2 linked regions of the Alligator mississippiensis genome follow. The main gene of each other region encodes a partner of the protein of the gene in region 2 in a complex. Links are inferred from orthologs where the notes say so. Each region holds a gene or a part of one and is shown on either strand. Other genes may lie near its edges. The genes, in order: FAM98B and ZBTB8OS.

What was found.
Region 1: ZBTB8OS (region 2) and FAM98B share a complex: the UniProt entries of both Homo sapiens proteins name them as parts of the tRNA-splicing ligase complex. The link is inferred for Alligator mississippiensis from reciprocal best matches to the Homo sapiens genes ZBTB8OS and FAM98B.

Annotation. Positions count from the first base shown.
Region 1 is NC_081825.1:245,052,286-245,067,791, forward strand, and holds the start of FAM98B (protein FAM98B), read right to left. Parts: upstream 6,579-15,506; 5' UTR 6,494-6,578; coding exon 6,429-6,493; intron 4,954-6,428; coding exon 4,808-4,953; intron 4,026-4,807; coding exon 3,891-4,025; intron 2,048-3,890; coding exon 1,869-2,047; intron 1-1,868. UniProt on the Homo sapiens protein: Positively stimulates PRMT1-induced protein arginine dimethylated arginine methylation.
Region 2 is NC_081829.1:5,387,128-5,403,451, reverse strand, and holds ZBTB8OS (protein archease), read right to left. Parts: upstream 8,267-16,324; 5' UTR 8,213-8,266; coding exon 8,125-8,212; intron 6,666-8,124; coding exon 6,641-6,665; intron 6,176-6,640; coding exon 6,054-6,175; intron 5,799-6,053; coding exon 5,716-5,798; intron 5,318-5,715; coding exon 5,265-5,317; intron 4,352-5,264; coding exon 4,315-4,351; intron 3,543-4,314; coding exon 3,456-3,542; 3' UTR 2,718-3,455; downstream 1-2,717. Other genes in the region: histone-binding protein RBBP4, read left to right, coding at 10,202-10,217, 10,685-10,832, 11,669-11,814, 14,069-14,242, 15,147-15,262, 15,386-15,564, 15,653-15,779, 15,902-15,979. UniProt on the Homo sapiens protein: Component of the tRNA-splicing ligase complex required to facilitate the enzymatic turnover of catalytic subunit RTCB. Together with DDX1, acts by facilitating the guanylylation of RTCB, a key intermediate step in tRNA ligation.

The sequences.
Region 1 (15,506 bases), on a different chromosome or scaffold from region 2:
TAGGTCTGAGGTCTGTTTCCTAGATCCAAAATAACAAACTCATCAAGCTGAATAATCTTCCATTCAAACTGGTGCCCATTAGCAAAAAACTGGGTCACTACAGCCTCAATTCATGCTGTCAGAGAAGGGCTGCAGCAATAGAAAACACTCGGTATAAAAGAAGAAACAAAACCCCCAGGTATTAGTGCTGCCTTTTAGAAACACAGATTCTGAGATGTTTGGGGACCATGAAAGGATCCAACTACAATTTGTTTTCACTGGAGTCTTAGAGTTTTAGTTTATAAAAAACAAATTTAAGTTCCTTAGTCTTGATTACTCTCTAAGATACAAGAGAGTGAATATCTAGAACATCCATTGTGCCAACCAACATAGTTAATGTTGGGCATCTCAAGCTTTGGGTACCGAAGTGGGGACATCTTAAAGAGCCTGGTTTACAAAAAGTGCTTAGCATCCACCTTCTGGAAAACAAAAAAGTCTTTCAAAAATGTCCAGTTGAGCACACAAATCAAAACACCCAAAATAACTTCTTAGTCTCAGTGTTTGTTCTTCTGACAGATTATTTAGACAGCTGACATTAACTGGTAAGCATTTTATAGTAATCTAAACTATATTACAAACTTAGGCAGAAAAAGAAAAGGTTTCACATTCATCTGTTTCACTGAAAACTGAGCAGCTTTGGAGAAGTGCTCACATACATGTCTGCACACAGCACAAGAATGTGTCAACAATCCTAAACATGATCTTTAAGTACTAGAACTATAAATGATGGTAACCCCTCCTCCCCCTACAAATATCTAACATTTATAACTTCTAAATATCTTAAGAGCTATAAAAAAACCCTAAAGGTTATTTTAGAGTATGAAGAGTATTTTACAGCAAAGTAGTCAATATGGAACCAAATTAAACAAGCAGGTTGAACCTAGTAGACGATAGTTTTAAACACTGTCTTGTTGAATGAGGTTTAAGTTGTTGGGTAACTTGGGTTAGTCAGGGCTCTGAGGTGACAACCCACAGAACTGTTTAACATTAAATTACTATAATGTTAAGTACAGAATATCCTACTGGATAAACACCTAATTCACTTAAATGGATAACAGTCCAGCTGTTTTCATGGTAACAAATGTCGGTTATCTGCATATTAGTTAAGTGCCAGAACCATTTAAATTCTGAGACCTGTTATCTCTTTAGTAACTGTGCTCTGTATAAGTGCAAAACTGATGAAACAACCGGACTGTAAATTACACAGCTTCTAAAACAGCCCTCAACCAACTTGATTCTGTCAGTTTTATGGCTGCTATTGAAGCATAAGGCACTCCTAGAAAGAAGCCTTAATAAAATGCAAAAACCTTAGTGCAGTGCAATCAATAAGCACAATTTATTTTGAGTTTGGGTAAGTGTGTACTCCAAGTAAGGCAGCCCCATAGCTATGCCCTTAAAGGTTTAGGCAGTATTTATAATCCAAGAAGAAACTGTGGAAGATTGGTGTGATCAAACATTCAAATTAAATACATATTTGGATCACTGCTGATTCAGGTAAATAAAAGCAAAAACCCCATCTTATTTTAGGAGGCATTTGGTAAAATAGTAGACTTCCCCACGTGGTCCTACATTCTACAGATAGCAAAATATACCTCATCAGAAACCACATTTTTCAAAAGATAGCAAAGATTTTTCACTTGATAACCAAAATTGGCTAAAGGTATGCAATTTAGACATGATTAAAATAGTTTTCAAAACTAGAATTAACTTCTGTGTTAGTTGGAGAAACCTTTGATACTTAACATTTGACTTAATTAGACAGTAAGATATATAGTGTAAGAATATCTGAATTATAGAAAATTACAGAAAGAAAATTAAAAGTTCTGTACCTTTGATTCTACATTGCTCAATAAAAGAGGCATGTCAGAAGATGATGACTTTGATAGGCCCAGTGAATCAGAGATAGCTTCCACTTCGTGATAGATTTCATTATGCTTTTCCAAGTGAGAACCTTTAAGTTGTTTGTTGTGCAGTATCTTTAAAGCTTGAAGCTCCGTACTTAGAAATACTAGAGAAAAAAGTGCCATAATAGGATCTTTAAGAAAGCTTGAATAACTTTGTGCCTGCATTCTCACAGAAAATAAAACACAAATTAATAAAATACAAAATAAATAAAACTATAAGAAAATAGAAAGGGATTAGACAGAACTCTGTCAACTTAAGGACAAATTTCAAACATTAAAAAAAAAGTTATAGAAGCATACAACTGGATGTTACTCATTTCTGGTGCCTACTTGTTTTCTCCTGCAAAATTCTCTTGTGTGTGACTAATATTGCTCCTTATCTAAAGCAGTATCTGCCCTCAGTCTCAACTCCTTCAGCTATACGAACAGATATACATTTGTAGATGCTTCAAAAGAGGAGGAGGAGCTGTTGTTGCTTGGAAGCACATAGCAGCTGTGATGTACCTATTATGTGCGTAAAAGCCAGTAGCAATACAAGCTAGCTATATCACCCAACTCTGACCCTGGAAGAAGAAGAGTTAAAGCTCAAGTTCTTCTACACCAATGGTGCTCAGGCTGTGGTCCACAAAACCATAAGAACAACCTATCATCTAGCTGCATGCATATTGAGTTCTCTGAGCTCATAGCATGTCAGCATGGGTTCTGCTCAGAGCCCAGGGAGTGAATACCGCCACCATTTGTCTCTTTTCCCCTGCTACCTCAGTGGCAGGGACATTCACCCCCTCCACTCCACAGCTCCAACTGGTGAGCTCGGGGAAGCTCACTACACATGCAGACTTCCAACTATGCTATTTTATGAGCACTCAGCACATTTTTGATCTTACGATCTGGCCCACTTGTAAAAAAAAAACAAACCAAAAAAACCCCCCAAAAAAACCAAAAAAAAAAAAAAAAAAGCTGACTGTACTACACACTTTACACAACAATCATGCAAACATAACAGCTATATCCTTCAATAGCAGTACAATTATTATATCCATTACACTCTTTAAGTCTCTTTCTTTGACTTCTTGTCTATTCTTTCTACTCAGTTCCAGTTGTTTCTCCATCCCCTGGTTCCTTGCCAGATTTGGCTCTCTTCACACTACTATCTATGCTTTTCTGCACATTCCTAGTCCTATCAGCTTCTCACCTAATCTCAGTCTTTGTTACTTCTAATCCTTCTGTCCCATCAAGATTTCCCTCAGTGCTTCCATTTCCAAAGTCCCAGGCTTGGTAACCCAGCTTCAGCCCCTGTCTCACTAACCTCATGTCCAAGATACTATTTCCACCCCCTCAATCCAACTATTGTCATCTCTGATAGAGCTGACCTGAGCAGGGTGCGGGGCCTGGGACAAATCAGCCCATGCAGGGCCCCACCCTCACTCCGATCCCATGGCCCCAGACCCGAAAAAGCTGCCACCGCCATCCTGATCCCATGGCCCCGGACCCGAAGAAGCTGCCACCGCCATCAGTGGCGAGGGGAGTAGTAAGTGGCTCTGCCCAGCTATACACTGCTGCTGCTCTGCCCTGCTCCGTGGGGGCCCCCAAAGCACAGGGCCAAGGGTGGTTGCCCTAATTCATACCCTTAGGGATAGCCCTGGTCCTTGCCCTCAAATCAGTTGACTTCTTACCTCATGCTGTCTGGGAACCAGTAGAGAAGTCATTAAATTCACTAGAGAGGCAGGTCCTTGCTTGCAGTTTTAATACCCTACCCAAACTGATGCAGGACCACTCATTTGAAAGAAATTTCAGGTTTCGTTCCTATAATACTCAAACTGTGGGACTAGTTTATGCACTCTGATCAGCCCTAATAACTATGAGGGGCCAGAGCATGTTTTTTTAAAAATTAAGACATATACAGTACATAAAAGATACCAATTCTTAATGGGAATTATCAGAACTTACATAGGAGTTTAAGACAATCTTCTTTCTTTTGTAATCTGTCTTTAACATCTCCAGAAACAAGTACTGAATATGGGCAAGCCATTTCTTTTAAAAAACCGCTAATCTCAAGCTGGAAGCTTTCCACATCTTTCTCACCTTAAGAAAATAGAAAACAAAGTAATTGGAAAGTTAGTGGGCTTTTCAAACACAAATTACAACCTATTGCCCTTAATACAAAAGTTTATATGTGAGATATTGATTGATGGCGAAAGACATTTATGACCTATTAATCAACATCACTTTCCATGATCTTGAAGAAAATCTTGCACAAACATTTTTTTTCAAAAATGAATCTTGCAAAACACTTTTTTTTTATTCCCAAGAAAAATGTTACACTGATCTATTAAGGAAGGAGTCCACCTAGTTGAAATGAACTAGGAGCTAGCATGTAACAAAAACAGATAGTCCATTTTCCACTTTCAAATAAAAATATCACTGCCATGTGAATATTTTATATCACTAAAAATGAATCACTGTAGAGTATTTAAATTATGTAAGAAAAATAACTAAATGCTGTGTATTTATTTAAAATATCTCACTGAGGAAACAGAAAGTTTACAAATATTTGTAGGTAGTATGCTAATTTTACATTATGCCCTTTTTACATTAAGATTACTTTAAAATAATTATATTGTCAATTTAAAAAAAAAAAATTCAGTTAAGTTGAAATAGAACACTTCCATACATGCACAAATGAGCTTCAACCTCTTGCTTATCTAGATTATAGCTATTTTACTGCTAAGTTTCAAAATTGTTTCTTGAAACAAGATCATAATTTATACTTTAAGAGTAAATGACTAGGAAAAAAAAAAATCAACGCTTAGGCAAATACCAACGAATTAAAATAATATGCAGTCCAAAGTCTGTGCAAATACCACCTGCTGATGTGATACTTTCTTCCAGGTCACAGAGAGGTTTTATCTGGGAGCTTAACCAAATGCACAGTTCAAAAAATTCTGGTGAAGACAATCCATTTTCTACTGCTTTGTTCAGTGCTTCCTCCTCTAGTAGAGGACCTTTGTACCTGGACGGGGAGGGAAAAAATGAAGAGTATTAATAAAATATCTACTATTACACATGGATTTTTATACTGCTTTAAACCATTTAAGAAATATTTAGCATTAGGAGAATGATGGTGCATTATTGGAATGCATCACAAAGTGGGAGACGTACATGTTCATCTACCACAAATAAGACAAATCACTCAATCGTTCTATTTACCCTGTAGCATTTCAGGCTACATTGAATACACTAGGCATCAGGGCACAGTTTACAGGGGCACTCAATTTTCAAAAACCACGTAAGCAAAACCGCTTACTGTTTCATCTTAGATCAGCAGCAAGTAAACCCCAAACTAACAACGCTTAATTTCACCTTTCCAAATTCACGCATTGCAGGGACACTAGGCTGCAATGTTTGGCATGTCCAGTTTCATTTAATACACCCTCAATTTCAAAACCTACTGGAAGATTTATTTTTTTTAAATTACCTCCTAAAGTTTGCTTGATTATTTTTCTGTAGTCGGAAAAAAAGAGAACTAAGAGCTGGCATTTCCGAGGGCTGCCTTGGGTCTAAAATGGTTGACAACCACTGGCCTATGAAGTGCATTTCTACCCTGCCTCCTGCCTGCCTTCACACTGACACAGCTAACCTCTCGCTACCTTTGAGGCAGACACAAGGGCCAGTTTTCACTATCCAAATGCATTCAAATCCATGAGGACGGTAAACTCCAACCATGAATTGAAGTATGCGAGAAAGGCCGGCTGAGAGCACTGCCTACCCCGCATTTTCTTTGTACATGTGTGCGGGACCAATGACAGTCACTGCACCAGAAGAGAGTTGCGTGGAAATCGGCCGCCAGCCTCGGTAGCTTGCTCCCAAGAAGGAGATCCCCACGATCGTTGCCAACTCTCACGATTTGCGGTATTGCTCTGAAGGTCTATGCTTGGGGGATGTGAAAAACTTGGCTCTTTATTTGTATTTATACACACATAAATAAAAGTGTACACTTTTATTTCTAAATGAAGGAGCTAAGGAAGTGACTGTGAGGAAGCTAGGGTTGCATCGAGGGCGGAAAAACAGGCCGGTGTCACTGCAGCCGCCCGGCTGGCCGAGTCCCCCATGGGGAAAGGCAGGGTTTCTTGGGGGCGGAGGCTGGTGGGGCAAAAGGCGCGGCGAGGACGGCGCCGGCCAAGCCCGCGCCAGCCAGGCCGAGCAGCACAGGAAGCGGGGCTGGAAGGGGAGGGCGGCCCGCCCTGCCTCTGCCCCTGCCCCGCAGCATCCCTGCTCCCGCCACGGGGCTGCAGGGGACGCCGGTTCCTGCTCCCCCTGCCCCGCGACCACTTCCCGGGCCGAGGCGGAGTCTGCGGGCGCACGCGGGGCCCAGGCGCCGCTCGGGGAGGGGAGGGGAGGGGACAGGAGAGAAGAGGAGGGCCCGGCCCAACGCGGCACGGCGCCCCTGCCCGCTCCCCTCGCGGGCCCCAGCCGCCGCCGCCTCACCCCAGCGCCTCCAGCGTGTCCAGGATGTCTCCCTCCATCCGCAGCGCCGGCTCCAGCTCCTTCATGCTGCCGCGGCGCCCGCCCCGCGGTGTCCCGCTCTCACGAGCCCGGCTGCAACCGCCGCCCTCGCCGCGCGTTCCCGCCTGTAAACGGCCGCGGCCCGGCCCGCCTTCGCCGCCCCCGCCCCCGCCCTCGCGGGCCCCGAGCAGCCCCTGGCAGGCTGCCAGCCGCCAAGGGAACAGCCACATTTCCCACTTTTTTTCCCCTTTAAAGAAGAATTCACTTTCAAAGTTTGCTCACGACCTTTGCCTACGTTCTTGCACCCCGCTTCCCGGGTGCAGCCCACAAGTGGAGACACGCCGGACTAGATGACCCCTGGAGGTCCCTCCCAGCCCCACTTTTCTATGACGCTCTCTCCAGCACAGCACAGCACAGCACAGCACAGCACAGCACAGGTGCGTGGCGGTGACCACCAGTCCCTGCTTGGGCGGGACAGGCCCAGGACGGGACCATCAGGTCCAGGGGCTGCACGACTCCAGGGCAGCATCTGTCCCAGATTTGCAGGCCCCTGCGCTCCAGTTTGCAGCTGGGAGCAGACACATGGGGCTCCATGTGCATGTGCACGCCCACATACATGCGTGTGGCGGGGAATACAGCTGGGCACCATGGAGAGCAGCTTCCAGCAGGTAAGTTAGGGAGAGGGCCAGGTTGAACCTTTCCATGTTGGGGAAGGAAGGACTGGGAGTGCTGCCTAGCTGGGGCAGTGCATGGGCCCACGGCCCGGGGTGGGGAGCATGATGGGAGCCATGGGTGGTTCATCCAACGGGTGTGGGGGAGAAGGGGGGCGGCTCCCTGCTATTGCAGCACCCCCTGGTGAGGGTAGGGAGGGGCACATGCCCCCCTGCCAGATTTGTGCGTGGGGCAGGGGCGGATGCAGACTGTCCGCTGCAGCATCGGGGCTCCCTGCCCTGGGAGTCCTGCGCTGGCCATGCACCCACTTCATGCCCGGTAGCAGTGGGGGCAGCAGTGAGGAGCTGTGCTCCCTGCTGCTGCCAGACAGGCAGGGAGCACACAGCCAGCATGGGGCTCCCAGGGGAGGGCAGCAGGGTGGGGAGCCCATAGCGGGTAGTCCACATCTGCCCCCACCCCACTCGGTTCTGTTCTGGCTGTGCCACTGTCGGGGGGTGGGAAGGTGGGCATGTGTCCCACCATTTCATTTTGAAAAGGCAGTCGCCTTACTTAAGAGTCCGATCCGTGAGCCATGGACCTGCCACAGAAGTTGCAGGAGAAAAAACCTGGAAGTATTCTCCCAAATTATTTGTACATGAGCATGCACTAATAGTCTGCCTGGTGACAAATGGAAGCGGTGCATAAGGCAGCCCCAGTTGGCTGATGCAGTCTGCCTGTGGTCAGCCTGTGTGTGTCTTTATGAGGCCTCAGGCACTTCCTATTATGCCTGATTTTACCACACATTTCTATTAATATTGATTCATACTACTACACATACATATATGTAAATAATCTAACTAGGGTCATATCAGTCACATTAATTCTGATATTTCATAACTTCTGAGTGCTGAACTTTGCAACCTTAGTATAGTTTGCATTCATCATCATAACTTTGGGACTTCATATATTCAAATGTTACATTCAGCATTCAAAGATACTAACTACTGAGGGTACAAAGAAATTGTCTCCAATTTGTGGTTAATGCAAGCAGATGATTGTCCACTTTCAGGATTTTATCATTGCATATTATAAGGTGCTGCATGCTTAGAGCAGTGGTTCCCAAACTCTGGGTCATGACCCCAAATGGGGTCACACCATCAGTAGATGGGGTTGTAGCTCAGTGCTCTCTCTTGCACCAGGTCCCACCCACTTGGGTACTGCTGGGATGGGAGGGCAGGAGGCGGAGGGTGGGGGGCTGTGGGACCTGGGCCTGGGGAACCTACGAGGAGTTGGGGGCTGTGGACTGGGAGTGAGGGACGCTTGAGGAGGGTGGGGGGGGTGAGTTGGGAGTGAGGGGCCAAGTTGAGCAAATGGGGTCATGCTGAGGAAAAGTTTGGAAAGCACTGGCTTAGACAGTGTTATTCTAGGATTCAGAAGAACAGTTAGGCTGGTTGGTCTGCAGTAGCTGAGATTAAATGCTTTCATGTAAAATGGGTGGTTTTCTTTCTCTTTTTCAGCCGTTCCTCCTTTTGGTGCCCCTTCTTCTCTTCCTCTTGTTTGAAAAATTCCCTCGCAATTGGCCCGTTAGAACTAAAAAAATAACGTACCTTGGATTTTAAGAATAGGTATCTAGGTCTCCTTTACAAGCATTAGCCAGGCTTCAAAGCACCGGCCATCAAATCATAGAAGAAAGTGTCATAACTTACCTTTTCTCTTTACTTTTATTATATATATCTACAGAGAGGAAAACGTTATATCACATAGGAGTATAATAATATATTAAAATACAACAGACAAGATTTTATGGAGTAGAGTAAGCAGTAGTGTAGAGGAAATGTCTATTCTCTCTTCACCTATTCTTCTCTGAGATACTCAAATCCAGGTCTTCAAAGGTATTATGTATATTTCTGTTAATAAACAGAAGCATGTTAAATCTATGTAACTAGCGCTGTTCATGATATACATTTTATGGTAAGTGGTTAGAAGGAATTACTCTTGGAAAAGCAGTATTCAGGCTCTTCATGATAAAAATAAAAATGTGTAGAGACACAGTAAGCGTAAGTTTCATAAAATCCATTAATTTTCTCCTTTATAATATACAACATGGTGAAAAAACAGATCGAATGTAAAGAGATGAGAAGCAGATTCCACAACAGCTATTTCAATGCAGAGCACAAACAAATCTACATGCCTCTTCCTGTATATTTTCATTTCAATAATATGCAGTATAAAGATGCATTTCATAGAAAACAACCACTAGAGGGGACCATAGAAGCAGAGAAGAAAGGGGAATAAAATATTCAAAGTACTAACAATTTTTTTGTCTAACACTGAGAGCTTGTCTATATGCAAATGTGTACTTGCTTAAATAAATGTGTAATTTAAAATTGATTGAATTAAATCAATGCAAAATACTATGTGGACACTTTTCAATCAATATAAGTAACTTATATTGATTTAGTTTAAATTGATTAAGGACAGGTTTAAGCTAAAATGAAATAAAGTATTCCTAAGCCAAAATAGGAGTGTTTTCAGAGGGTGTTATTTGATTTAATTTAAATTGTTTAAATGCAAATGGTTCAACTTCTATCTGTAGACAAATAGCTATTCTTTGAGCTGTTGGGAAAACCTTGCACGCTGATCTTTAAACTTGTCTACAAACAAAGGTTGCACATACGTAACTTAATATAGTTTAAAAACTGATGTAGTTAAACCCAATGCTAAGCCCATAGTTAGCACACTTACATTCATTCAAAATTGATTGGGATGTCCACGCAAAATAACACTAGTTTAACTAAGGGTATGGACAGAGATTCAGGAAGGTTAGGGGGAAGTTGGATCAACTTAAAAATGGCCACCCAATCTAAGTATGTTGAGATGGGGGATGGGGGGAGATCAGAGGCAGCTAGCGAGGTCCATGGGGGGCTGGTGGGATTGGGGAGGCTAACAGGGTCCCTAGGGGGATTGGTGGGTCAGAGTGACCAGCAGGGTCTGTGGTGAGGCTTGGGGAGGGATGCGGGAGATCCCCCCCACCCCCCCCAGAACCACGGGTTATTTTTAGCCTCCCAACACCCCCACCCCCAGACAAACAACCCTCCCAGCTAACCAACCTCCCAGTCTTGCCAACATCCCAACTTACTTCCTTGGCTCCCAGCACCAGTGAAAGCCAGTAAAATGGCACTGGGAGCAGCTTGCAGGATAGGGGGTTTGGCAGGTGGTGGGGGGTGGGGGTGGTGGCTGGTCTGTGAGACGGGTTATCCATCTGGGAGTGGAGCATGGGGTTTGGGCAGGGGGGCGGGGGGGAGAAGGGGGTGCTAAAAATAGCTCAGTGCCAGGGCAGTAGGGGGTTAGGAAAAGCACAGCCCTATACCTGGGGCCAGCAGCTGGGCTTTCCCAGCCCTATGACTGCACGGGGGACTGTACAGAAGTTCAGTTAGATTGATCTCACTGGACCCAATCAAATTAAATTACCTCCTAGGTACAGTTAACTTAGATCAGGTTGGTCATTTTTAGATGGACCTAACCTTCCTGATCTTCCATACAGTTTGCACTTAGATTGACCTAACTAGGGATCTAAGTGTAAGGTCCACATCAGGGCAAATTACATTAGATTGGGTGGCCATTTTTAAAGTGATCTACCCTTCCTCTGATCTCTCCAAACAACTGTATGTACCCTAAATCAGTTTACAATAACAGTTAAACTGGTACAATTTTGTGTCCAGTCCACACATTCAAAATAATTAGATGCAAATTAGAGTTTCACTAACTAAAACAGAATATAGCAATTTACACGGGTTAAGAATCCTGTGCATTAAGTAGCTAGTGCTACTTAATTGAAGGTGCACACACAAGGTACATTTACAGTAGAAAAATCTGTCTTTATATCAGTGTAAAGATGGGATAGACATGATGTACAAATCAACACCAGTGGAAGCCACTACTCTAAAGTAAAGATACTGCTGGGATAGTCAGGTGTGACTATACACTGGTACACATGATGTGTGTCTGCAGTTCAATTTAATTTCATCTTAGGACAGCCATTTGCACAATGCAAATAGGATATTATTAGCTCCCTGCAGTTTAACTGTGAGGTGCTGAAATGGTGTCCATTTTAGGCAGCTACCTCCTGACAGCTGGCTGGGTGTCCCTGAAGACATGAGGGTAACTTACATTACCATTCAAAATAATGAAATTTTTACTGGTGTAAATGTTTCAAATATCTGCTTTCTATCATTGAAGCTTGCCTCCCATTATAAGCATTTGATTTAGATTCTGTCTCCCCAAACTCCAATCCACCTGACCTTGTTGCATATAGATTTCAATCAGGAAAGAACTATTTTGAAAACTTTGTGACAAGGTACATGGGAGATATGATAGGTCAAAATGAAAGGCTTTTTTATCGGGGACATTTTATTAACTTCGTTATATCTCCAAGAAGTTCTGGGTTTAGAAACTCCACATTTATTTTAGCCATTTAGTCTTGGCAAAAAGGAGTACTGGTGAAGTGTGTGAGGGTGATCTGGTGGGGAGAACTTTTATTTATGTACTTCATAAAGTCTCCAAGGAAGGCAGCCTTAATTGTAAAACAGCAGGCAGGAATCATATGAATTTAACTTGCTTTAAAAGTTATAATAGTGTATTACTCCTGGCTACAATTTGTCTAGCCCTTGTGAGTATGTAGTTGAGGAGAAGGAATAATACCTTTCTCACATTCTATGGTTAGAATTGTAGTTTCTGGAAAGGGAGTACAGGCACTGCTTCAAGATTACTTCCTCAGGAGCAGATGGTTCTCCAAGGACAGTGAGGCAAAGTCAGAGTAAAGCAAAGCTATCTCTACACAGGACCAGCTGCACAAGGTGAGTTATATATTCCAGCTACGGAGTGCAACCCTTTCAGTACTTTCCCGTCCTAAGCTGGTATGACTCTCTACTATTCTCAATACAGGGCACATCTATACATGCTATTAATGCTACAAAGGCTTACTGCCTAGTGAAATACTGGGCAGTAAGCCTTCTCTGGGAACATGCCTACATTGACGGGACAGTTCCCAGCCAGCCCCAGGCTGCTTGGGGAAATCCCTGCACAGCCCAGAGCTGGCTGGGAGCTTTCCCAGAAAGGCCAGCCCTGGGCTACACAGGGAAGCTGGGAGCTCCCAAGTCCTGTGGCGAGCTGAGCAGCACTGGGAGAGGAAGTGGGGCAGGGAGCTACCCCATCCAGGCACTGCTTGGCTTCCAGCTTCTGGCAGGAGCTTGGAGCTGAGTAGTGCCAGGACGGGGGGCGTTCCCCATCCCCTGTGGCCCTCTAGTGTTGGGGTTGACTGGGAGCAAATTTGTTCCTGGTCAGCATCTACACATGCACTACTGAGCAGTACCTACGGTGCACTTAGTTTACTATCTGTATTTACAGATAGTAACTAACTGCACAGGAAACTAATTTACTGCACAGTAAATGGTGCGCATGTGTAGAAGCTGACACTTTACAGAAGATTAGTCTACTGTGCAGTAAAGCATCTCATGTAGACACACTCACAGAGTTGTACCTGTGAGACAATCTAGCTCTGTGAGATTATTGGCTCATGGAGCTAAGGTAAATAGTGCACAGTTTAATAAGTATTTTGCCATTTACTTCAATAGGGCTAGGACTGGGGGCCTGAAAATATTTCAGCAAGATATGTTCTTAATTGTTGGGACCACTAATGTCCTTGGCAACTACACCTCCCCCTTAGCTTTTGATTGTTCTGCTAGCAGCATTACAAAGGAAAGGCACTTTTTTGTACCTGAGATAGGTAGGTTTGCACCTTACAGACTCATGTTAGTCAAGTAGAAGTCAAATAAGACAGTAAAGTAGAAGGGTTGTGAAGTGAGCATCAGCCAACAAAAGCTTGTTCTACGCGCGCGCACACACACACACACACACACACACACACACACACACACACACACACACACTGCTTAGCCTAAAAGGTCCAAATCTACCATGCCTTGTACTTGACTTTAGACTAACATGGCTATCTACATGGGTGGCAAATTGATTAGATGGTCACACCCAGAGAGTGGTGGTGGATGGGTCGTTTTTGACCTGGAGGGATATGGGCAGTGGAGTCCCCCAGGGCTCGGTCCTGGGGCCTGTACTGTTCAACATCTTTATCAGCGATCTGGATGTGGGTGTGGAAAGCACGCTGTCCAAATTCGCTGACGACACCAAGTTGTGGGACGAGGTGGGTACACTGGAGGGGAGGGACAGAATCCAGCTAGATCTAGACAAATTACAGAGGTGGGTGGATGAGAATAGGATGGAATTCAGTGTAGACAAATGCAAGGTGCTGCATCTAGGGAGAAGGAACCAGCAACACACCTACAGGCTGGGGAACACCCTTCTTGTCAACATGGTGGCAGAAAGGGATCTTGGAGTCATTGTTAACTCCAGGATGAACATGAGCTGCCAATGTGAGGAGCGGTCAGTAAGGCTAACTGCACCTTGTCATGCATCTTCAGATGCATCACAAGCAGGTCCAGGGAGGTGATCCTTCCCCTCTATGGGGTGCTGGTCAGGCCACAGTTGGAGTATTGCATCCAGTTCTGGGTGCCGCACTTCAAGAGGGATGTGGCTAGCATTGAGAGGGCCCAGAGGAGGGCCACCTGCGTGGTCAAGGGGCAGCAGGGCAGGCCATACAAAGAGAGGCTAAAGGGCGTGAATGTATTCAGCTTCCACAAGAGAAGACAGAGGGGATCTGGTGGCCGTTTACTACCTCACCAAGGGGGGCCAGCAGGAATTGGGGGAGGCTCTGTTCCCCCAGGCACCACCTGGGGTTACTAGGAATAATGGCCACAAATTGTTAGAGAGAAGGTTCAGGCTGGACATCAGGAGACATTACTTTACAGTTAGGGCTGTCAGGCTCTGGAATGGGCTCCCAAGTGAGTTGGTGCTCTCTCCTACCTTGGGGGTCTTCAGGAGGAGGCTGGGACAGATATTTGGCTGGGGTGATATGACCCCGGCACCCCTTCCTGCCCGGGGGGAGGGGAATGGACCTGATGATCTGTTTAGGTCCCTTCCAACCGTAAGCACTATGATACATCTCTCTACTCATTGTGACAGCTGAAAATTATGTCTGTGTGATAAAGGTGGTTACTGAAGGCTCTATGAAGATTAGACCAAGTGTTTTTCTGTATTTGTTTAGATATTAAGCTATATGTTGTTGCTAAGAGCCTAGTTAAAGTTTAAGATGTAGTAAGGCCTAGTAAATTTAGCAAAGCCCTGAAGTAGTAAGGCCCTGTGATGTAGTTAAAATTAACCTTATCAAAGGAATGCAAGGCTTGTACTGCTGTTGGTCAGTCTAAGGACAGTTGAAGTAAAAGGAATCTGAGTGGCTGTACGTTATCAGTACCGTTCAGAAGCTACAAATTGGCTGGAATATCTGGAAATCATTCTGAAGGAAGATACAGCTCTGTGAAAAGAATTAGTTAGCTGGTGGCCTGGATCAGTGGGCCTGTGGATCTCAAAGAGCCCAAGGACTGAATACCAGGGTCCTTCCTGGTACCTCTCAGACAGCGCTGATTGGGGAGGCCTGACTTCACTGAGCTTTTTGGAAAGAGAAACTTCTTGTATATCAGGCATCAGAGGGGACTGCCGATAAGTTGCCAACACAAATTGTTCTTGTCTGTCATTGTCTTGTTACTACACGTAGCTGTGTTTTTGTTAAGTCAATAAACCTTTCTTACCTTTCTACCCCCGACCATACTCTCAATCCCGAACCCTCCACAGGCGGCTGGGTCAACTCATGAAGAGTATTCCAAAGGGCAGAGTTAAGATTCTCTGAATAGGCCACACTGTTTATTCCAGTGATTCTCAAAGGGTATGCTAGGACACACTAGTGTACCACAAAAGCAACAAAAGTGTGCTGCATGATCCCCTTGTGTGACCAGCCACTCAGGGGCTTCCCCCAGGGGAAAAAAAATCATTATAATGATTAAGATAGATCAAGATCTATCTTACATCCCCTAAACAATCAAGAGGGGATGAAAGGATAGTGTTCTCTATAGTGTCCTTTTGACCTCTGCTCTCAGATGGGACTTGTGAAAAGTGATGATGCTTTTTGTGGTGTGGACAAAAAAGTTTGTGGCATGCCACAAACTGTTGTGACATGCCACCAAACTAGCAAAAAAAGATCTGGCCTCCTCTGCAGCAAATCTCCAGCCTGGCAGGACAAAGTAATGCATATTCCAAGTTCATATTTCTCATTCTTTAAAAATAAACTGTGCCCATTTTGCTGCTCAGACCATATGGCATGAATCACTTCAGTGAAGCATTCTGCACATCACATCACGATTTACACTGACATTATGATTTCTTAGAAGTTAAGTGGAAGCAAGAGCTGCATAGATAAAGCCCAGTCTGTTAAACAGGTTCTAC
Region 2 (16,324 bases):
AATGCCTGCAAGTCTTTGCACAAAGGCACCAGTGATGATGGTTTGCCCCAGGAGCCGATGCGGCCATTAAAAACGAAGATCCTTCCTATGTTTGCAAGCAATCTAATTTGAACAAGACGGAGATCCCAGTTCCTTGTTAGCAGGAGAGAGGCCAGGCAGTACCTATTTTCACATTTTCAAGCAAGGTGGGAACAGAACAATTGCCAGGGCCATGAGCTTTGGGTTCACATTTACTGATTTGAGGTCACATTTACCTTTCCAGAGGACGGTCCTGTGCGTCTTACTGCCCCTCCATCTGCACCTAGGGGAAAAAAAAACCCAAAACAAAACATGTTACCTTGTAGATTTTTCTTGCGGGATTTCATAAATAATGGTAATGTGCTGACTTCCACCCCGCTGCCCCCACTCCCGAAGAGCTGCCCTGGGATTGAAGGACCAACGACACGGGGCCAGAAGAAATACCTCAGATATCGCTCGCTGCTCTTCTTCCTCATCACACCGACAACCCTGCCGGTCCTGCAGCAAGCGCCCCGGCAAAGGCTTCCTGATAGAGACCCCCAACTTCATCGCCGGTCGTCGTGGCACGGCCTGGACCTTCCCCGCTGGCTCCTCAGGCTGCCCCACTCTTCCTCGCTGGCCCCTTTTACACAGCACCCCATGGCTCCCCACTCCTTGCACGCTTCGAAGTGGAGGCCCCTCTAGCTCCTTAAGCTAAAACAAAACCTACACCCCTGTAACATGGAAGATATCGAATTCTGCCCTTTGAGATGGAAACTTAAATCCCCCCTCCCCCCCCCCCCAAGTATTTAAGTTGTTCTAATAAAAGAGATCAGATTCACCCAAAAACCTTGTCAGCCTATGTCCCGAGACCAACACGGCTACAACCTACATCCCTTAATCAGTTTAACACACCTCAGGGGTCATCTCCCCCACCCCGCTTGTGTTTGCCCCCCTCAGGCTGTCCTGCTCTCCTGACAGGAACAGAACTCGAGGCACCATTGGTCTGAACAGTCACCTGACTCCGTCAGCCAATGGGATGTTAGCTGAGGGAACCGCTTTCCCGCCAATGGCCTGAGTGACAGCCACGCGGCCCAATAGAACCCCTCTCAGCCCCTCTGGCTCCAGTGGGCGGGGCCTGCCTGGGCTCCTTTCATCTCCTCAGAGCCTCCTACCCGTTGTGAGGGTAGCACTACACTCCTGTGGGAAGAGCACAACTCCCAACCGTGTCGGCCACATACGCTCCTTCCCACACCAAACCCAGCCAATCTTTTCCCTGCCCTCCCCAGTTTAAGTAGCCTCTCCCATCTCCGAGACGGAAGGCAACACAGAGGATGCGTTGCTTGTGGGACGAATGCACTGGGCGGTAAGCCCATTTGCAACCCCTTCCCACTGACCACCCGTAAGGCAGCACTTTGAACTCGATCCCTAAAACACAACCTGCTGCTAGAGTGGCGCCAAGATTCGACTAGACCGGCTGGACCTTCAGAATAGAGTTGGACAGAAGTAACTGGTTTCAGCAAAAATCAAACAGAGGGTACCATAAAAAGGGGAAGATGTTAAAATAAGCTACTTAAATGAACCTGCTCTTTCCTCACTCTGTTGCTTTCTGAAAAATAAAAATGAAGGATGATCGAGCATGACTACTCAGTGTAGGATAGACTTGCTTCTTCAGACACTTGGGCTGGATTTCAGGCATGCAATGCTGACACAGGTTGGAAACCCCCAAACCGTACTCACTCCTTTCTGGGACTATTTGGCAGGTCATTCCTTCTCCTTAAAGTACCTTCCTTTTACAAATATGATCTTAAATTACCATTTCAAGGGATATTCATTGCCCTGCGTGGAACAGTAATGAGAACAGCGACAGCCCCTCACAATACATCTGTACACTGCTTTGAAAAGAAACATGCAACTTTACTCATCCAAAACATCCGCTCTCCAAAAACTAGTCACACATTCACAAACAATTCCTTAGAAATGCAGATTTTCAGTTGCAATTTTGTTTTTCCTTAGAAGAGACTTGTTTGTTCGTCTCCCTCGGTTTTTGCCTATCCCACCCAACACCAAACCTGAAAACAAAGGATTTGTCTTCTCATTACTGGGGACAGGGGAAGCAAAAATAACCAACTGAAAAATCCAAAGTGGAGACAAAGCACTTACAATGTTTGGTGCAAACCAGCAAGGAGACATCATCATATGAATAGTTTAGTGCACAGTGGAACTAGAGTGCCGTGTCTCCATTTTTTTTTAAATGATTTCAAATAAGGGATAGCCAGTGAATATTAGTTTGGAGGGGCTGGGTAGGGGACACACTTCTTTTTTTTTTTTTATTCCAGGAGTGAGTGGATAGTGGAAGTGCCAGTAGAGGAAAGTTCAAGTATTTAAGGAAAGGCAAGGGAACTTTCCTCAGCAATTGCACACCAGGGTCTAAGAAGTGTGTGCTGTGTAATCCAGTGAAAAAAAAAAGTACTATGTAAACATCATGTGTAGCCTCCTATGCTGCTCCGGAGGTTGTTATTACGCTTTCTAAAGGAGAAGACTAAAGCAGCCAATTTACATAGACTTGTATACATTAAAACAGAACAGAATTTTCCTTTTTATTGCAAGAGACTATTGTCCTGAAACTGCAGATGATTTTGGTAGATGCCTTTCTACACCAGCAGTGAAATCCAGCCTTCACTTTTTTGGAAGAATGAAAGGAATAATTAATACTCCAGTCACATGGATACTGCTTTATTAGGTCAGACTATCAGTTAGCACTATATGGAGATTTAGCACCACCTGGTGGCATCTTTTCTAATATCATTCAGATATTTTTGAAGGCGTTTGCTGCTTTAAAATCATTGCAATGCACTTATAATTTTCGTAAAAAGACCTCAAGTGGCAGAGATCTTAAAGGCATTAAATAATGCAAAAGAACAATGTCACCTCAGCCTGAGTAAATTAAAATGCGCACCAATGAAGCACAACGAGAGGTAGGTCCTTCAGAATAAAGGCAAAGAAAATGTGTACATCAAATTTTCTCTGTCTTCTGCCAGCTTGCAACAAGATAATATTTTGACTAATAAAGATAAGAAGTAATTAATTTCTTACTGATCACCCATGTTCACCAGGACACAGTACCAATGCCAATTTAAAAATCAATGCACAACAGCAGTGCTAGTGAGAAATTTTAACTCCTTATGCTGCTCTTGCAAGTTTGAGATGTGCAAGCTTCTTAAAACTAGTTTCTTGTCTAGACATCCAATTCCCAGACTCGTCTGCCGTTCCTCAAAGTCAAGACACATCTGAATATTTCTTAATTCCCCTGACTCATTCAGTAAAATAACATTAACAGTACAATTCAGCAATTTTAGCCAATCGTTTAGTTATTTCTGTGGAGGTAGCAGAGTTTGTGGGACCTTTGCTGGCTAAGAATGATTTTTCCAGGCATTTCAGCAGCATTTTCTTCTTTTTTAGATATCAATGATGACAAAAACTTCTGGCTTTTGGTCTTCATGGATCTGCATTGCAGAGTAAGTTATTGCCTTGACTTCAGTACCCTGGATGAAACAAGCACAGAAAGATGGATTTTGTAAGTCATAAGCCCTAATAGCCACTCCACATGAATGCACACACACACTATTTTTTGGCTCCCTGGGCATGGCAAGTTAGAGAATCCTTCTCCCTGAAGCATGGCTGTACTATATTTGTTCTGATGAGTACAAAGAATGGGACATCACCAAGCAATCGCTCACCTAGACACCAGAGCTGCCCAACAGCAAAACAAGTAGTTTCTCCGTTCTTCACTACCACTCACTGCAGCAGGGCATCAAACCTCTCTCCTAGCTAACGAAGACCACTATAATTTGCTTCTCTTGGGTTAAAGCAACCATCACAGACTGTTAGCAAAAAGGGGAGGGTGGGAAAGTAGGAGTGGAATGTAATAAAACAAATTATATTAGTTTATTACTAATTTTCGATAAGACTCACAGCCCAATGACTAGTTCTACTGCACACAAACCAAACTCATGAAAACATCCCGTGTTGGGACTGAACTGGCATGTCACTGGTGTCAGAAAAAAGAGCCAAAATTGTGACCCATTTCAGCCACTGCTTGAGTAATCATACAGATGGTATTCCTAACATTGTTGACTAATAGTCCCATTCACAAACAGCAGCTAGCAAACAAGGGCTTTGGTATCAGAGGTAACAGAGTTGTACAAGCAGAAAAGTTTAAAATTGGATCTCCGAATAAACTTAGTGGTCTAGTTAAAAGAGAAAAGCCCATATTTTACCTGAAAATGTAAATCATAAAAGTCATTTGGTACATACCTGAGGATGTTTGGGTAGAGAGAACTCTTCCCCCCACCTTATGTGAGAAGAGAAAAGAAAAGAAACTGTTGAAATTTTGGTTTAATTCAGCAAATACTACTATTGGCTTCATTAGTACACATAAAGACCTGGAATTCCAGCTTTAAGTACTGGAGAAGGAAACAGGAAGTCTCCAAGCACTTCATGGTAAATGCCACACAGCTTTAGCCCATCATAGTAATTGTCATCAGTTGTCCATTCAAAATGGGGACTTAATATAGTGTGGGGATAGCCACTCCCACAAGGAGTTAAACCATTTCTGGCAAAGATACTTAGTATTTGCAACATGCTTTTTAAATGTTAAGCCCTGTGTCCCATCATCTAGGCTCCTTAGCAAACTATTTAAAAAGTGAGCTAACTAAATGAATTCAACATCACTTCTTCAAATCATAGACCATACAAGGCCTCAGAGACGTAGAAAAAAAAAATTGAAGAGACACTAATTTGCTTTTCATAAGTAACTTGGAAATCCTGGGATTATTAATTTTGTTTCCTATCTGCTTCCAGGTTTTTGAAAGTGACTGGTTGAAATGTATTGGGATAGATAATATTTACATCTTGATTTTGCAAACATGAAATGATTTTTCTCCATGATAGCTTTTTTTCCTCTATCAGCCCTTTCATAGCATCTGATAAAGTAGATTGTTGTCTACAAGAGCTCACACCTCTCTGAACCAGTTACTTTTTAAGGTGTCATTGTACCCTACCTTCCACATGACAGCTTCTGTGGTAGATACTAACATTTATATGAGGATAACAAGCAGATATTATAACTTGCCTAGGTTTAAAGTGGGCGCCGGTGGAAGAGTCAACTTCAAACTTGGCTGTTCCCCTAAGTAAGCTATATTGCTTTTAAATTTGTGTGCACACATTTGAGTTTTGCTTTTAACCAGAATGTTCTGCTTACTCACCCAATGGATCTTATTTTGAAACTCATTCGGTCAATGGAGAGCACTTTCACCTCCTGCAGAGAAAGTAACAGGAAAAAATGGCCACAAAGAGCATTTCTCATATAGTTTTATGCCATATGACGACTCCCTGTACTATTCCCATGCAAAGTTAAATATTCATATTGCCATCATTAGAGACACAAGAAGAGTTCAATCAGCCTCAGAGATACGCTGATGTTTAGATGTGCAGAGAACTGCAATTACAACATAACCAAAGCCATAACGGGTTTGAAAACAACAAAATTGAGAGTTTACTCCTCCTTCAACTCATGCTTGTACCCACAATTTCCTATGCATTGGTAGGCCTAAGCAGACCTGTTGGTTCCAATGTTTTTGCCCCAAGAATAATAAATTTGGGGCAAGCGTTGGCAGTGAATATGCCTGCCCCATATGCTGGGAAAAAAATACATACCCTGGGTATGAAGAACTGGTCAGCGCTGAATGTATACAGCCACTCATTCAAGAAGTTATAAAGAAGAGACAGCATGTCATGTCCTGTAGGACAGAAACAGCAAAAGAAACTCAGTTGGGTGCCCTGTTCAGAATTTTGCAAACTTCCTTTTTGTGTACATCAGGGCAGAAGTTCAGTTTTCCTGCTTATTATGTACTTGCATATTCAGATTTGGAAAGAATAAGTTAGTTTAATAAACCTGTGCCAATACTACATGCAATAAGCCAGCTATTTCTGACTGAAAGGCAAAGTTAATTTCAACAGTATTCTCTTTCAAAGTTTGCACAGTGCCTTCTTACCTTCTGTCTGCACTTCTACAGTATCCAAGGGCTCCACAGTCTCTGTATCTGTTATGTAGCCAAACATGGCCATAGCACACTGCTCAAAAGCTTCTTCCAAAGTATCTCCCCAGGCATGTAACCTACAGAGACGTAAGAGTTACACCATCATACAGCAGCGACAAAGAAAGACGAGAAAATACAAGTAAGGAATTGGAGTACCATAGAAATACGAGTAGGAAAAGCAGCAAACACAGTGCCTTTAAGCAGGGAGACTTGTCTATGGTAAGTGCTGAAACACTGAAAGACAATGGAGTTTCTTTTGGAGGAACAACATGGAAAAATATTGAGTATTTTACTAAAAACCATGGATATCTAAACAGGTACTGTTGGAACATATGTACATGGAACATTTGGAAATAAGAGGCAGCAGAATTATGAAACAAATACAGCATCTTTAAATGTGGCATCCACAGGCCCAAAAGGGATATATTTGCACCCTATTCTCTTGTCACATTAGATTTTGTCAGTTACTCCTGATTGACAAGTATTGAAGAGAATCAGGCTTATAGAGAAATTCTACTCAAATTCCAGCTGTAAATACTCACTGAACATCAGCCGTGTGATCCAGATCTGAAGGATTAGGAGAAAAAAAGAAAGAGTTATGGAATTGTCAAAGTTGTTTAGAAAAACAACGCATGACTACTTGCAAGAAAATTCAGGTCCTGTTTTTATCATGAGAATATTTTGTGCATGTTTTGACACATCTGACCTCATATTAATAATGTTAATCTGACCTTTAGCTAAATATGCTATAAAAGGATCAATATGATAGCAGCACATAGTAGGTACCATAATAGGTTTTAAAAGAAAGCCACCAAGAAAAACAACCCCTCCATAATAAACCCATCACCTTGTTTCCACAAAAAGTACCCCCAATATATATGCATTTCATACCATCCTTCAATAGATGAAAATGTTATAGAGCTTTCCCAAACTATACAGGCCACATGGAAGAAACTTAAAGACAGAATTTGAACCCAAAACTCTTGTTTCAATTTTCTTCTCCTTGAAGTTGGTAACCTTCCCCCTGCCCCCCATATTGTAATCAGTCTCACATCAATGTTCACTTAAAATGCCAGAAAAGCATTTTAGATAATCTGTTTTATGGAGCAGCTCACAGAAATTTTGTTTCTCAAGGAACTTTTGATCTGACTTCCCTTGTGGGGATAAAAGAACAGATGGTGTAATAGGCCTGGCTTTACACTGTATCCCTAATATTGGTAGAATACCCTAAAACCCATCCAACTTGTGTTACTGGGGTTAAACTGGATATGAAAACCAGGCATTAATTCAAAATGAGTTGCATGCTTATGGGAACAAGCTGTGCAGTGTCAGTGGAAACCAGTATTCTGCAGAATTACTGCCAGATACAGTTGTGCCACTAAGATGCATAATACCGGGAGCTGCAGTGCTGAGCACTTGTTGTCTGCCCTTCAACCAGCAGGAGTTGAGGGGACTCAGTAACGCACAGGATCAGACCCTACCATACCTCCCTCCTTATAACAGCTCCACACTAAGGCATTATACTTAAGTTTTAAAACAAAATAAGCATTGGTACTTTGTTCTGAGCTGACTGGCTAATAAATCAGTGGTGGCAGATGTGATTTGCATAATTAACCAGCTCTTGGATTATAGTTTCTCCAATGAATATTATATTTTCTTAGTATGGTATCATCATTACCCCCTACTGCAAGTCAGTTTTGAGTGATAATACCACTTTTCATTTCACCCAGCAAGATTTGCTTCCTTCTCTTTTCAGGCTTTCAAAATAAACTTCCAGTTGCAAAGTCAGGAGTCACTAACTAGTTATGGCAACCTGCCTGGAGGTGCTGAACACACAGGGACTTCTTTAGGACCCATCGCACAAAGCTAAATGATCTCCGTTAAGATAACATATCAAGACGCATCAATAAGCCTCCCCTACCCACTTAGAGACAAGATCCCAGGGCACAGTGTGAAGCACAAGTTTTACACGTGCTTAGGTCTATACCTCCCCTCCCAGCCACAGACATGCCATGGGGATACTCACACTCATACTTCTTATTGAGTGGAGGGTACTTGGCTTTGATAGCCTTCTGCTCCTGGTTCAGGTTGTAATCCCGGAAATTATCAGCCATCACTGTCAGCCTTGCAGCACCTGCTTCCTGCTTTATTCAGACAGCCCCTCTTCGCCTGATCCAGCCCAGACTCACCATGTGATCCTACCCTTTAAAGGCAGAGCTCCCTGCTCGACTGGAGAGCAATGAGGACACCAAGTGGCACTGAAAATAAGTGAGGTTTGAAATGTGCACCCCTGAATTCTCCAGCCACAAAATCCTTTGCAAGGGTATTTTTTAGCCTGCAAAAACGTACTAGGCAGTGAGTCAATGAAGCTGAAAGAAGTTCTCAATGTGCCTAAAGTTAAGCTTCATTTTCAGGATCCGCACCACAAATAGCTTACACCTTGAGCTAGTGCCAGGCTGTCCTTTGGTTTAACTTGATTAATTTTGCGCAGCCTCAAGCATGCTGCTGCTGCTCAAGAAGAAGGAAAATAGCAAAAGAAAAGGAAAACACTGGCGATTTAGACTGTTTGAGGCTTCCACCAGGGGCCGAGCGCTATGAATGAAAGCGAAAGGGGGGAAACGATGAGATGGTTTCTAGAGTTAATTCCAGTAGAAGGAAAAGCTGGTATTTATTTATTTTTTAAATCTAAGACTAAATAAATACCATCAGTTACTCTGTTTTTTTAAAGATGGGAGTAAAGAATACAATTTGTAAGAAAAGTGTAGTCCTGTTCTCAGTGGTGGCCAAGGAGCAGCGGTCTGACGTTGCAGCAAGGGTGGTTTAGGTTGGATATTAGGAAATACTCTCTCACTGGGAGGGTGATGGTGATGAAGCACTGGAGCGGGTCACCTAGACAGATGGTGCAGTCTCCATCCTTGGAGGTTTTCAAAACCCAGCTTGGCAAAGCCTTCACTGGGATGATGTAGTTGGGGCTGGTCCTGCTCGGAGCAGGGGTTGGACTAGATGTGACCTCCCGAGGTCCCTCCAGCTCTCATGTTCTGTGATACGGTGATGATATCGGGTAGGTGTTCTCCAGCGTCCTCCTTCGGAGCCCCTGCGTGGTCTGCTTTATTCTCACACCGCTGCAAAATACTGACTCCAGTTGGAAATAATCAGCGTCTTTCCTGCTGCAGTGAAGAGCGAGGCCAGAGGCTAATCAGCAGCGATCCCGGTTTTCTCCGATTAAAAAAAATTTTTTTTTTAAATCCCCATTTTTCAGTTAAATCACAAAAAAATGTGGATTTTTTAAATGAAACCTCATTAATATATAGGTAAATACTAGTGATGTTTAATCTTAATCATGGAAAAACATGGATCTGGGATTACTTTAACTGAAAATTGGGGATATCCAGAGAAAACCAGGATCCCTAATAGTCAGCAAAGGCCGACCATAATGTCTCCTACACAGGACGCTCTTGTACAAAACTCTTACGATCTCCAGCGCTGATCGGACTCTTTGGGGGAAAATCAGAGGGGAAAAAAGAAACAAACCCCCACGTAGGAAGCAGATTCAGGCAAAAACTGAATTTTGTCCTTCAAACCTAGAACGAAACAAAAAGGGGGGCAAATAAATATTGCTTTATTCGAGATCAATATTGCTATATAGGCTAATAAATATTGCTTTATTCAAGATCCTCAATCCTGTCTGATCACAGGTTGCAGCGACTGGCAGGCAAGCCCTAGGCTGCTTGCTTTTCTGCCCCTCCCGCAGCAGCCTTGAGAAACAGGGTCAATGAGGCTTGAGCCCCAGCAAGGGCATGAGGGGCCGCTGGCCCTTTAAGGCGGCCCGCCATGCTGCCCCTCCGTCAGAAAATGGCGGCTCCCATGGGAGCTTCACCAGCGCCGGCCCCTCCCACGTGACCGTACAGCAAGCCCGCCGCCTCCTTAGGCCCGCCCTGTCAAGCGCCCGCCGGGCTCCTATTGGCGGCGGGCGCCCGGCCGCGGGCGGTGATTGGCGGGCGTTGGCGCGAAGGGCGCGCGGCGCCGGAGTGGCACGCAGAGGGGGTCGGAAACAATAGAGCGGCGGCTGCACCGAGCCGGCAGCCCGCGCCCCGCACCCCAACATGGCGGACAAGGAAGGTACGTGCGGCCGGGAGCAGGGCCTGGCGCCGCGGCCGGGAGTGGGACCTCCCCAGCCCTGCCGGAGCAAGCAGCCCTTGGGCCTCCCTTCTCTTCCTGTCCGGCTCCTCCGTGGGAGCCTTCAAAGAGGCATTTCCCCCCCCCTTTAATTAGCATGTGTTGCATAATTTTCCTTTAATTTGCATATTTGATATCATTGGCCCTTCATCTGCACAGCAAAGCCCCCAATTCTGGTTCTTGGGGGGGACTGAAATGCTTCCCCAGGTCTGTGCGCGGTGGGGGGGGCCCTTGGTAATGGGCCCGTGAGGGCCACGGAGGGCGGGCGGGCGGGTGGGAAGGTGCACCCTGGCAGTGGGTGGGTTTGTTTGGCAGCTACGGCAAAGCGACGGGGCCGCACGGGTAGGGTGCTAGCCGGACCCGCCGTTGAAATGAACACGTTCTTTTTTCCTCCCCTTGGCGACGTGCAGCAGCCTTCGACGATGCGGTGGAGGAGCGGGTGATCAACGAGGAGTACAAGATCTGGAAGAAGAACACGCCCTTCCTCTACGACCTGGTGATGACCCACGCGCTCGAGTGGCCCAGCTTGACTGCCCAGTGGCTTCCTGATGTAACCAGGTGAGTCGAGCCTCCTGGTTGTTGGTGTAAATGGGACTGAAGGACGCTTTCGCTGTCACGTATGGGAGGGAGTGGGTTGCTGCCGGCTGTGATCAGCTCTTTGGCCACAGTAGGTTGAGGACTGTTGTGCTGGCACCAGGCAGCACCTCTGCTGCCTGCTGCCTGGTGCCTCTTTGATTCAGAAATAGCTGCTGACTGGCAGCAAATGTTTCAGGCTGTGTTCAACCTGTAACTAAGTGATGTTTTCTTCTTTACCCTCCATTGATGAAGTTGCAAAATGAACGTACGCAGCATTTAGGTATTGTTCAAAACCCTTCTGCTGTGCAGCACAACTGTTCTTTCCCCGGGTCCCTGACACAATGTATTTTTCCACCTGTCACTTGCAGAAAATGCTAATATGCCTCAAGGCGTTACTCACGGGAGTACTAGTGGGAGAGTCCTGCGGGGAGAAGAGAGCTTGTATTGTGGGGATGTCAGATACAGATTTCCTTGCTGCTATCTGTCTAAGGTTGGACAGGGGTGATTTTGTTTGGGATAGCAGCAAGGAAATAGGTATCTGCTATCCGTCTAGGGTTGGACTGCGGTGATTTTGTTTGGGATAGCAGCAAGGAAATAGGTATCTGCTGTCCGTCTAGGGTTGGACTGCGGTGATTTTGTTTGGAAGATTTGATATTGGAGTAAGAGGGCATGGTCAGCGCTAAAAGATATATTATAATTTTTATTTTATTTATTTATTTTTGGAGGTTTAATTTCCAGGTCCAGGTTTGTTCCTGTGAGCCAACTATATCTAATTAACTCCCTTTCATTTCCCCTCCTGTAATCCTATTTTGTTGTAGACCCGAAGGCAAAGATTTCAGTATTCACCGGCTAGTCCTGGGGACACATACTTCAGACGAGCAAAATCATCTTGTGATAGCCAGCGTGCAGCTGCCCAATGACGATGCACAGTTTGATGCTTCACATTATGATAGCGAGAAAGGAGGTAAGAGTCTCGGATGATCAGCAAGTGGAGTTCCAAACTTTTTTTTCCCACTGGACATAATGGCTTTTTTCATTTGGAGTTAATAGATCATTAAGTAATATGGAACTTTTATCCTATGAAGTGATCAGGAGAGGTTACAACTTTTCCTCCTTTCTTCTTGGATCTGTGCACTGTACTCTAATCTTCCATATGCCATGCTGAATTAAACTTACTTTTTGCTTTTATAACATTTTGAAGAGGAGAGGGGTAGAACTTATTGGAAGATTGTGCAATAGAAATTATTTTAATTATTTCTCATTGTGACTGCATAAAGTATTCTTTATGATGGTAGCTTTCATAATTTGATAAAAGAGGCTTTCTGCCATTCCTTAGAGGGTGTACAATTTCAAGTGTTCTTTTTAGCTTGAATTCTGCTGACTGGTAGACGTGCCAGCCCCTCCAGAATAAAAGGATGATTGTATTTTGCTCAGTTAAATGCCATAATACCATGGGATCCAAACCAAATATATCAGTAACCTTCCTAGGCAGCCAGCATTCCTACCTATTAGCCATATCTTATTCTAGTTGGGTTAATGATTTCTTCCACGTTATACAACTTTTCCAGTTCAGTTGTCTCATTTCCTTGTTTGCCAGGAGCCAAGGTTGTGCAATTGATACCTTGATTGTTGGACTTGCTAGTACTGCTTGTAAACAAGATTCTGTCTAAAATACTTCATTTCAGGATTTCTGTTTCCCAGAAATATCAAATTTTAGTACCACTACTTCTTTTCTTTTGTTGTTGTCTTCAATTCCTTTTTGTTTTTTCAGAGTGAGTATTAAAGTATAGTATATTAAAAAGTTTTGCAATATTACTTGCGATCATAAGGCTGTAGATATCTTTTCCTTTTATTCTGTTTATTTCCTGAAATCTGCTTGTGATCCTGAAAATAGGTTTAGTTTTGACTTGGTTGTATATGATTAAAAGTGTGTGTGTGTGATAGAGAGAGAGATTCCTGTACAAAGTGTGTAAGTTGGGGTCTCTCTCGGTGCAGGTGCTGACAAATACTTGCTCTCCAATTCACAATACAAATGTTAAATATAGCTTCGGCAAATCTGTTGAGGAATTTCAGTCACTTATCTGATTTTTTCTTTTTTTATAACGGCTTTACGGCTACTTTATTTTTCCGTACAAGGCAGTTTGCTCTTTTGAATTGAATAGCAGATTGGAAGCCAGGTGCTCTTGACAATGAGGGATAGTGCTGTGGCCTTGAGCAATGCTGTCTTTCTACCTCAGTTTTCTCGTGTTTAAAACTAATAGTTTTTATCTTTTTAAATACTTGATCAGCTATAATTTTTCTGGCTCCTAAGCTTTTGGCAAAGCATTTTTTTCAGACTCTGTCTTACAGGGGATGTAAACTTTTTATTAAGATTTCTTGAAGTATGCCCATCACTAAAGGGAGTCTTGGCACTTTACTGTGAATTCTCTTTTGGAGACTTTAGGCAAAAAGTTATGGATTTAAGAATTTTTCTGAAAGAGTCAGCTCCTGTGTTTATGGACCAGATTCCACTGCAGTTTCATTATATTTCTCTCCCATTTTTTTTTTTTAATGCTGTGAATCCCAGTTTTAGAATTGGTAAACTGACCTCCACACTATGGAAGAGAGGGTAGAGATTCTGTTACTCTGACAGTTCTCACTTCCTTTGTCTGCTTAAACAATGGTGGCAGTTCATGTTTTCTTTCTTAGATGGATTTGCCTGTCAAATTGTACAAGGTTCTAGATCTTCCTTTTGGAGTCATGAGGGTAGGCTGAAGACTGGAGTGTATATCTCTGCATATGTAGGCTATTGCAGCCCCAGACCTTAATAGGAACATGATGCGTGGTTTAACATGGTTTTAACCACATGTCAGTCAGCATACAGCTGTTTGCAGACAGATAGGTGCAAGTTTGATAGCCCCAAGGGAGCCTTTTATTGGTAAAACATCTGTCATTAGCTTTTTATCAGAAATAGTCATCAAACTTTTCAGTAATGAGCTCTTAAGTGTGATCTGGAAATGTGTTAAAAACCAGCAGGGCTCACGTAGTAACTGCAACTCGTATTAAAATTAAAACCTTGAAAATCAGTTTTGCTTGGCTTTTTATTTTTCTTTATGCCTTGTCAATAGACTCTTTGCTCTGTGACTGTGTGGATACTTCTTTGGCTTTGCTGAATCCTTTGTATGATTTGAACGATATGTACAGCTCACCATTAACATACATCTATCCTTTATTTCCAGAGTTTGGAGGCTTTGGCTCTGTTAGTGGGAAGATTGAGATTGAAATCAAGATCAACCATGAAGGAGAAGTGAACAGAGCACGTTACATGCCCCAAAATCCATGTATCATTGCTACAAAGACTCCATCCAGCGATGTCCTGGTCTTTGACTACACCAAGCACCCTTCTAAACCAGGTGTCTGTATCTATGTAACTTGAAGATTGGGCACAGAACCTCAAATACAGTTTGAACAGGAACTCAGAGTCTTTTCGGGGGGGGGGGAAAGGCTGACACTGTTCTGTGGCAGTTGAAGGGCTTTTGTGGGTTACGTGTCATTTTTAATTTTAGAATAAAATGGTCGCTTTCCAAGGTGCTTAAAAAGGGAAATACATTTACAGATCTTTAAAACACACACTTCCATTGGCCTTCTCACTGCATGTTCTGCTGTAGCTCTGCTTATTATCTATTTTTTTAAAGTTGAATATCCTGTGATGGTCTCCATTTGCTGTTGCTCATTTATTGTAGCACTGCAATGCTACTTTCTTTGCAATGGTGGAAGAGGCTCACTAGCCAGCGGAGAGCTATTTCATCTGTTTGCTGGCTAAACCGCTGTCCCTTTTTTGTTGTAAAATAACTAGAAAAAACCTTCAGGGACCTGGCTTAGTCTTTGGTGGGGTGTGAACATAAGATAGTCTCCAAGTTTCAAAGTGAGACTGGAACCCAAATGTAGAAATATATCTAAAAATGACGAATATATCTTTGTGCAATTAAGGAGAATTCTTAAAGTAGTGACCAAGGTGGTGTTTTCATCACCTAGTTTTTGACAAAGATTGAAGATAGTAAGAATTGTTTTGCTTATATAACGTGTAGCAAGTGGAACTGAGCCCCTTAGTATTACTGAAATATTCAGTGGGTGAGCTAGTGTCTGTATTAAGCATTTGAAAACCATCATCAGTAGCATTTTGTTTAATCTTGTAAACTCTCATGTCTCTCAGTGGGATGGTTCTGTTACTGGAGGAAGTCAAATCTACGTTTTTTGTCAAGCACTTACACCGGCAGAGTTGTTTGGAACCTAAGTTTACTGAAACTCTCTTTGCAGACCCTTCTGGTGAGTGTAACCCTGACTTGCGTCTTCGTGGACACCAGAAGGAAGGCTATGGGCTGTCATGGAACCCAAATCTCAGTGGACATTTGCTTAGTGCTTCTGATGATCATGTGAGTACAGCAAATAAAATTGGTATGTCAGCTGTACGTTAGTTGCAGAGCTTGATCAACTATTACACTTGGGGGGTGGGCTATTGCGGCCGGGGGGGGGTGAAGAGTTCATCTATCTTAAAGATACCCCTTTTCTCTAAGACCATCTGCTTGTGGGATATTAGTGCTGTTCCAAAGGAAGGCAAAGTGGTGGATGCAAAGACCATCTTTACTGGACATACAGCAGTAGTGGAAGATGTATCTTGGCACCTGCTCCATGAATCTCTCTTTGGATCTGTTGCTGATGATCAGAAGCTCATGATGTAAGTGAGAGCATTACCCAGGAATGTTTCTGTTTTGAAATGAAAGAAACTTCCCTCCTCCAATTGCATGTTTTCTCTCTCTCTCTAGCTGGGACACCCGGTCAAACAATACCTCCAAGCCCAGTCATTCAGTAGATGCTCACACGGCTGAAGTGAACTGCCTGTCTTTCAATCCCTATAGCGAGTTTATTTTGGCCACAGGATCAGCTGATAAGGTAGGCCTGACTTGAGATTAGGGACTGTCATCTGTCCCAAACCTGTTTCCACTTTGGAAAGCATATATTAGTTAACTTTGATGAAAGTGTTTCTTGAATTTCTCTCTTCTCTTCCTGAACAGACTGTTGCTTTATGGGATCTGAGAAACCTGAAACTGAAGCTCCACTCGTTTGAATCGCACAAAGATGAAATATTTCAGGTACAGTAAACTGGCATCTTTATAAATATCTTCATTTCTTTCCCAGTCAGAGCTGCAGGTTTGTCAGCAACTTGAAAAACTTAGAAATAGCCTTTTATTTTTCTTTCTTTTCCTTGTTACTCAACATTTAATGCAAGTATGCCATGTTCTTTAGCTGTTCTGTGTCTGAAGACATCCTTGGCTATGGGAAAGCTACCAAACACATAAGGTTGCTTATAAAACTGATGGAGTGAATGGAACAGGACAGATGAAAGACCACTTCAGTGGCTGTACCTAGAAGTGAAAACAATCAGCCAAATTATATATGGCAGTAAATGGGAGCAGGGAACTTGCTGAGATGCCTGT